2 linked regions of the Danio rerio genome follow. The protein of the gene in region 2 interacts with the protein of the main gene of each other region in a pairwise test. Links are inferred from orthologs where the notes say so. Each region holds a gene or a part of one and is shown on either strand. Other genes may lie near its edges. The genes, in order: spred2a and top3b.

The links.
Region 1: the proteins of top3b (region 2) and spred2a interact in binary tests that used the Homo sapiens proteins (3 or more experiments, as listed by UniProt). The link is inferred for Danio rerio from reciprocal best matches to the Homo sapiens genes TOP3B and SPRED2.

What each region holds. Positions count from the first base shown.
Region 1 is NC_133176.1:54,794,037-54,798,533, reverse strand, and holds the start of spred2a (sprouty-related, EVH1 domain-containing protein 2), read left to right. Parts: upstream 1-1,473; 5' UTR 1,474-1,804; coding exon 1,805-1,830; intron 1,831-4,497. UniProt on the Homo sapiens protein: Negatively regulates Ras signaling pathways and downstream activation of MAP kinases. Recruits and translocates NF1 to the cell membrane, thereby enabling NF1-dependent hydrolysis of active GTP-bound Ras to inactive GDP-bound Ras.
Region 2 is NC_133180.1:13,917,863-13,921,690, forward strand, and holds part of top3b (DNA topoisomerase 3-beta-1), read right to left. Parts: intron 3,383-3,828; coding exon 3,292-3,382; intron 744-3,291; coding exon 589-743; intron 1-588. UniProt on the Homo sapiens protein: Releases the supercoiling and torsional tension of DNA introduced during the DNA replication and transcription by transiently cleaving and rejoining one strand of the DNA duplex.

The sequences.
Region 1 (4,497 bases), on a different chromosome or scaffold from region 2:
CGGCTGGGAGTTGGTATTTTTTTGTGGAGTTTGCATGTTCTTCCCATGTTTCCTCAAGGTGCTCCGGTTTCCCCCACAATCCAAAGACATGCGCTATAGGTGAATTAAATGAGTCAAATTGGCCATAGTGAATGAGTGTGTGAATGTGAGAGTGTATTGATGAAGTTTTTTTTCCTCGCTACTGTCACCACTGCATGGCTTGCTTGGTATGTGTATTCTTGTCCATAAACTTGAAATTACTGAACCGACAGGAGCCTGATAAACATGCTCACATTTTAAGGAAATTTCAAACAACTTTTAGAGCTTTTTGCATCTGAAAACTTCACACATATATATATATATATATATATATATATATATATATATATATATATATATATATATATATATATAAAAGCGTTAACAACAAAACATAACAATCATGACTTTTGAACGCTCTCATATTTAAAACAAGTAACATTTGAAAAACATTAATTGAACATTAAATTGTGACGTTTTGTTAGAAAACAAACTATAAACACTCAATTTCATGCAAATATTTCAAGAATACCAGATATAAAACATAAGTCAGCGTTCTATTCCCAGGAAAGAAAATCATGGTTTGTTGCTATAAAGTCTACAGTTCCTCTAAAAATGGTAATTCTGTCATCATTTAGTCAGTTGACTGGTACAAAGAAGTTACAGTTTTTTTATTCTGTTGAACACAAAAGAAGAAATTTTGAAGAATGTTGGAAACCAATATCCGCGGACCTCCATAGTATTTGTTTTCCCTATACTATAGATGCCAAAGGTTACCACCTTCAAAATATTAAAGGTTACCATCTTCAAAATATCTTCCATTATGAAACTCAATCTCGTTTGGAACAAGTCAAGGGTGGGTAAATGATGAAAGAATTTTCATTTTAAGACCATGCAGCTAGAAACCAGCTGCCATACTTTAAGGGATAGTTCACCCAAAAATATATCATTCTGTCATCATTAACTCACCCTTCATTGTTCCAAACGAGTTTCTTTCTTCTGTTGAACATTTGTCATGTCCCTTTGGAAGCCAGTGGCTACCAGTTTTCAGCTTTCTTCAAAGTATCTTCCTTTGCACTGAACAGAAGACACTCACAAAGCTTCGCAAACACTTGAAGGAGAGTAAATAATAAGTCAATTGTGATATGTGTGAGAAGTATCCCTTTAAACTGGATTTCCAGTAGTGAGAACACATACACGTTAAACTTTGTTAACTTTAGGAAGGCTTTTGGCAAGTTTTGCGTTTGGAAAAACAATAAAAACCATTGCTGGACAAAGGTAAGCGAAGGCACTAGGTGGCAGGACGTTGGCACAGCCGGTCACACCGGAGATCCCTCAGTCCAAAACGGGCTGCAGTCGTTCCAATGTGACGTAATTGCTTCCGCAACCCCCCTCCCCCTCCCCTCCCCGCGCCCCCCCACCTCCAGTGTCGGCGGCGCTCGCCTGCTGCTGACTACACAATCCAACATGGAGTAAAGAGAGATGGGGCTCCTCTCCGAGACCAGCGCGCAGTCTTCAGCCGAAAACACATCGATACAGCCGTCGGGATGTTGCATAACGCACGGATTTCGGGCTCTTCGGGCAGATGCATTGCAAAGCGCGACGGATAAAGAGCGGTGCGCGGAGGAAGAACGAAAATAAGGATCGCTGAAGCGGATTTGGGGGAAACTCGTTGATGCACTGGACTTTAAAAAAGGCGAGGTGGAAAATCGAGACGACATGAAGCCCGAACGCCGCGCGCCCGCGCTGGGATATTATTTTTATTGTAGGTGAAACGAGGGGGAAAATGACTGAGGAATCGCACCCAGACGAGTGAGTATCCACTTTTTTTCTTTTTTTTTTTGGCGAAAACGACGCATGTGGACACAAATGGAAATCTCCTTGTGTGTCCAAGAATGTGTCGCCAGGCTGAAGCAGGGGTCAGTCAAAAGCAGGGAATTCGTGCATGCGAGACACCGGGGATGTTATTACTAAGAAACAATGCAGTGTCAAAGAGATTTGAGTGCTGGGCCCCTGCTGCAGGGCTCTGGTCTCAAACCGAGAAGGGGGGGAAGGAGGAGGGGCTCGAGCGGAAACATTTTGTGGAGGGATCCTTTACTGAATACCTTCTATCTTATCGACTTTAAAGACGAACTATCGATTCGAGGAAGCAAACAGGCGACTGTTAAGTTTATATACACGCAATGCCAGAGCAACGAGCTCGTGTGCGCTCTTAAAAGTGCCGTTCTTGGTGCCTTTCTTTGTGGTGGTCTGACATGCTATATCCGCCATTTCTTTTTCGTGAATCGCTCTCATTTGCATACTGTCCTTCATTCATAAAAATACAGACGGGGGCGCGCACAGCAGAGAGAGAGAGCGCCTCAGAGCTTTGCCTATATTAAAACAGGCCCTACACGGCACATATAGCTCTATATGCAATCATAAACGCTGAATTTAATCAGTCAGCTTCTTACATTAGCAAGAAACAAAAGCGAAAACACTTTATGACGAGTTGTATGCGCGTCCCGCACTGTATCGGTTGTCACAACAGTAACACATTCGCCAAACTCTGAGGTATATTTTAAGGTTTTGTCACATTCTTCAGGATTACATACACACTCGTATCTTTTGCTCATGGTTGTTTGACTCGACAAGCCGATCAAAGTCTTGCTAATAGCATTAGGGTCGAGTTAAACGGCTCGTTAACTTAGTGAGCTCTTTGGGGGGGGGGGCTTAAAATTAACTTCTGTAACACACACTTAACCTGTATTAACGAGGGGACGCTTATTAGATCTAATTTCGCAATCTGTTATGAATAAAATCATCAAATGATTGATGATTAAAAGATTGGATTAATCTGTAATAGCAGTGTAATAAGAGTTGGTCAATCTTTTTCCGGACAAATATATGGTAATATTTATTTTTATTTTGCAACTAATGTAACTTTTGCATGTTCTCAAATCTTCTTTCCATATTAGTCCACTAAATCATAAACTTTTCTTAAATAATGTCAAATAGGTAACAGCCTCAAGGTAGCCTGTAATTTATCCTGCGGTGGCAACACCATTTAAAATGTGGACATGAAATAATTTGAACTATTGAGGTAAAGTTGTTTTTTTATTCGCACATTAGTTCAGTCACATCTTGTGACACGCTCCCTATATTATTTACCACGCTACTTTGCCTATTCACTCTGAAATCACATGCAAGTATGACTTAAAGACAATAGCCTATTAGCACAATTTAATTGAACAATGTTGTACTTTGGTAGTCATTGGCTGCTAATATGATTTCCTTATTTAAAATTTGCAAAGAATACTTTTCTGAAAGTATATTATTAAGGAGAAAGTCTGAGTGTGCGAATATAAAACCAACTTTACCTCATTTTTGTGCTTTATGTTTTGATGATAAAATAGGCCTGCTTTTAAAAGAAACTACTTGATAAATGGACAAAATAATATATAATTTGTTTACAAACACATCAAAATCTTTTTCTTTTTCTTATACAACTGGATACCATCTTAAATACACTTTTTACACTTTCAACATAATTGTGACTAGGCTGTGCAATATATCGTTTTAGCATCGATATTGCAACGTGGATCTGTAATGTGGAGACAGGATTTTAGTTGACCATGTACACACTCCGGAAATTTTTTTTAAAAAAACTTGTTTTATATTGGTAACTCAAAAGTACCTACAATTTGTTTAAAAGGAACACTTTTGTGCTTTTTAGGTGCTAAAATGTGCCCTTGAGGTGTTAATATAGACCTTTTGGGTACAAATTTGTACCTTTTGAAAAGATGTCACCCCAGTGATAGGCTACAAATTGTGGAGTCATTTTATTTTGACCATAAAAACGTGAAAATTCATCAGTTGTGCATGTTTAAATTCACTTAAAATGCTTACACAATCTGTTGAATTAACAAAATATGTTTTTATGTATATAATGAAGACTACAACTTTGTTGTACATTTCATTATTTTATTTCTGTTCCTGAATACTGTTAGACTCCTTTATTTATATCGTTGCTTAACTGTATTTATCCATGTTGGTAATTATCTTCTGCAGATGCACTTCCCATTCAATATAAATGCATGAATTATTTAGAACTGGAGCTATTTGGTAAAATATTGCAATATAAATCAGAAAATAAAAATATTGCAATATCGTGCAGCCCTATTTGTGATGTAGGCCTAATAATGTTTAATAGTAATGTTTAATAATGATTTAATAAATCATAGAAATTTGACAGCCACTTGTTGCACTGGTAACCTTTTGGGCTTTTTAAGTTTTTAAATTCAGATTTACATCAGGCCTAATAATAATAATAATAATAATAATAATAATAATAATAATAATAATAATAATAATCTGACTGAACTTTGGAAACTTTTCTGAGTGTGTAAACTACGTTTTACAAATGGTGAGGTGACCAATATCAACTATGTTGGCTTGTTGTAGGCCTACATTCGTCCTTATATTATCGACATAAGTTAA
Region 2 (3,828 bases):
AGAATAGAATAAAAAAACTAAACAAAATATTATATAATATAATATAATAAACATGTAAACAATATTATAAAAGATATAATGTAATAAAAAATGTCATATAAAACAATAAATAAACTATACTTAAAAAACAAACAGATAATACAATAATATTATTTAAAAAAATACAATAACATTAACTCATTTTAGTTTATTTAAATTATAATACTAAATAGAGGGATAAAAACAAGAAAATGGCAAGGATGCATCTTTCTGTTCCCAAAATCATTTACAAATTGCAATTATAAAGTCCTCTTAATGTGTAAAACTCTTTTAGAGTGTACATCTGCATGCAACAGGAAAACATGAAAGACACCAACCAGCAGCAAACTGGCTGAAATTATCCAGAATTTATCAGCCAATCATGTATTTTCTTATTTTCATTTGTTATTTAATCTCCACTGATAGCACTAAGCAGCCAAAACCAATATCACCACCTATATATTGTGCAACACTAAAACCAATCCCTTATTTACACCATGAGTTTTTAACTGACACAAGACAATGGGTATAAAGAAAATAAAAAAATAATTAAAAGACAATATCGCTCACCGTTTCACCCCAGAAGGTGCTGTTGGCCTGCTGTTTGAGGGTGCCCTTCAGGTCGAAGTTTTCAGGATAATGTGTGGTCTCTGTGCGAGGGTAGCTGATGTAACCCTGTGTGTAGAGACGCTCAGCTATCTGCATGGTATGCTGGGGACCCATTCCTAAAAAATACACAGACCAAATTGTATATTCATTAGCAATGAAATGCCCTTTTAAAAACTGTACCACAATAAATATTGAGCAGCACGAGTAATAATAAAAACCACATTAGAGTTTCAGTAAGAACCAACAAAGGTTGTTCTCAAGCTTCAAGCAAGTATGATTGATCAGCTTAAATTAAATCGGTTCACCATATACAGTGGGGGAAAGAGTACTGAAAAGTCATACTCGAGTAAAAGTACCATTGCTCGCCCAAAAATGTAGTGCAAGTAGAATAAAAGTATCTGTTGTAAATATTACTCAAAGTAGGAGTAAAAAGTAGACCTTTCAGAAGTACTCAAGAGTAGTGAGTATTACGCTGTGAAAAGCTGATGCATTTACATGCAGTTTGTGCACCGATGTGTTAACGTAACATTCTGTAGTGTATTTAGTTATTGTTTAAGGCCATTTGGAGATTTCAGTCATCATATCATAAACATCCTTTATCTTTATCATCAGTGACATGCAGTCTAAACAGTCTCGGTGTTATTGCATGTAAAGATTTTAGACATCTTGGACACTTTTTATGATTCCACACAGTTTGCTGCACAGTTTGATGTTACTTTCTATGTGCCATTTGATTGGATAGGAATCACAGGACTGATATTTCTACACAGCCAATCCCCATAGACAAGAAAAAATAAAGTAGTGACTGCAGTTTGAAGGAAAAAACTGAAGTAAAAATACAGATACAGCACAAAAAAATTTACTCAAGGGAAAAGTAAAAATACACATTTTTAAAACCTCTCAGTAAATTACAGTTTAGGAGGAAAAACTACTGTTTTACAGTCATTTGAGTATTTGTGATTCATTAATTTACAACACTGACAATACACAGATATTGTGTTTCCTCTGAAAACTAGGATACAACCTTCAAATTCATATGGATTTTTTAATACCTTTATAAAGTCCCAAAATTAAAATAAGGTTGTTTTTAGATGTTAGTATCAGTATGTTTGTTTTAAAGTTATCTACAAGCTAGTGTGCTGCAAAGCAGTGATGAAATTCATATTTAGAAAATATAAAAATCCAAAGCTTGCAGTGTCATCTCCACTAAATGGATCAATTTGTTTGTCAGCTCATACTTCAGTTTCTCATCAAATCTTCTGACCAATCAAATGCTCTCCAGTATCTGACATGCATCGCCCCCCTTTCAAGAGGCTTCTTGTTTGATATTCATTTGATGTGCATGAGCTCAACCACTTACAGGTAGAGCTGTGATAATAACAAAATGCTATTGGCTGTTTTCAAAAAGGAGTTGTTATATGTCCTGCCCAGTCTTCATGTTTCAGTTGGGATTATGTCCAAAGCTGCACTGCATTGGTTACCGGTTGAAGCTCGGATCAAATCACTGATGCTTGCTTACAGGACAGCCACTGGCGCTGCACCCTCTTACCTCCACCTGCTCCTGAAAGTCTACATCTCCTCTAGGAGCCTCCTGTCAGGGAGCGCTGGGCACTGAGCACTGCCTTGTGATGTCATGGCAGAGAGGTTATAAGTCACTTTCCAAAACATTTTCATTCAATGTTCCCTGCTGGTGGAATGATCTTCCCATTCCCACTGCGGATACACTTGTAACCTTCAAACGACAATTAAAAACCTATCTCTTCCGAGAGCACCTTTACCCTGGTAAATTAAACCAAAACAATAGCAATACTCCTACTCTAGCACTGAATTCTCTAAGCACAAACAAGTGACTTTGAATAACTAGCACTTGTGTGTATTGCCGCCTCTTGTTGAATCGCTGAATACCTCCTCAATTGTAAGTCGCTTTGGGCAAAAGCATCTGCTAAATGACTAAATGTAAATGTAAAATGTGAATGAGTAAAAAAGGCACAGTTCAAAGCACTTCATGAGACCTTTAATGTTTCAATGGACTTGCAATGGAGGAATAGAAACGCAGAAATTATTACATTTTAAAAATATCATGATGAAATATCAAGGTGAGAAAACAAAGGCAGAATCTTTCATTTTTGTGGAAAATAACCCTTTAAGCTGTATTTATAAAGCATTTTTTCACCATTTCTTTTGGTTTTCTGATTTGTGAAATGACTTAAAAGGTCTCATGAAATTAAAATAAAGTTTTTTAGATGTTAGTATCAGTTTTATTAGTTTTTAGGATATCTATAAGCTAGTGCGCTCCAAAACAGTGACAAAATTCACATTTAGAAGATCTAAAACTGATAAAAACATGTAAAGCTTGCAGTTTGTCACTTTTTTCTAAATGGGTGAACGGTTTTATTCAGGTCACCTCATACTTTACACCTTGACCAATCACATGCTCTCTAGTATGAGACATGCCCCTGCCCCCTTCAAAAAGCTTCTCATTTGGTTTTCACTTGATGCATCTGAGCTCAACCACTCTCACTGGCGGAGCGAGGATAAAACAAAACACTATTGGCTGCTTTTAATAAAGGGGAGCAGCTTTGAGATTATGTCAAACATCAAATAAAAATCCACATTTTAAAGCACTTTACGGGACCTTTAAATATCAGAAGAAAAGCTGCTCACCCAAAGCAGAGCTGGCCACTCTTAACATCTCCACTGTGTTCAGTGCAAGAGGTCTCTGCTTGGCTTTCTCTTTCTTAGTCACCGAGTCAACCTGCATGGAAAGATTCATACAATTACAATTCTTGAACACATTTACAATACACTTATAACTAAAAATCAGCTTACTGAAATAACCTGCTCACCTAGTTTATATGCAAACCTATACCTCAACAATGCAAGTCATGTGTTTACAAGATATCAACAAATCAGTTTTTGTCCTGTAGTTACTTTAAAACTTTATGATTACTGTCACGTTAAATGAATCATTAAAAACTGAATAAATAAGTAAATAAATAATATTATTACAGAAAAAAATAAATAGTAATAAAGTTCATTTAATTCCTTTTTAAATATTTCCAAAGTGATGTTTAACCATCAAACCACCAATGACTATATGATACACAAGACGTGTCACTCGTATAGTCTTAAATAGGGAAAAGTGTAACGTCAGTATGGCGAATGAAGCCCCGCCTTCTAGTACAGGAGCCAATCAGTGAT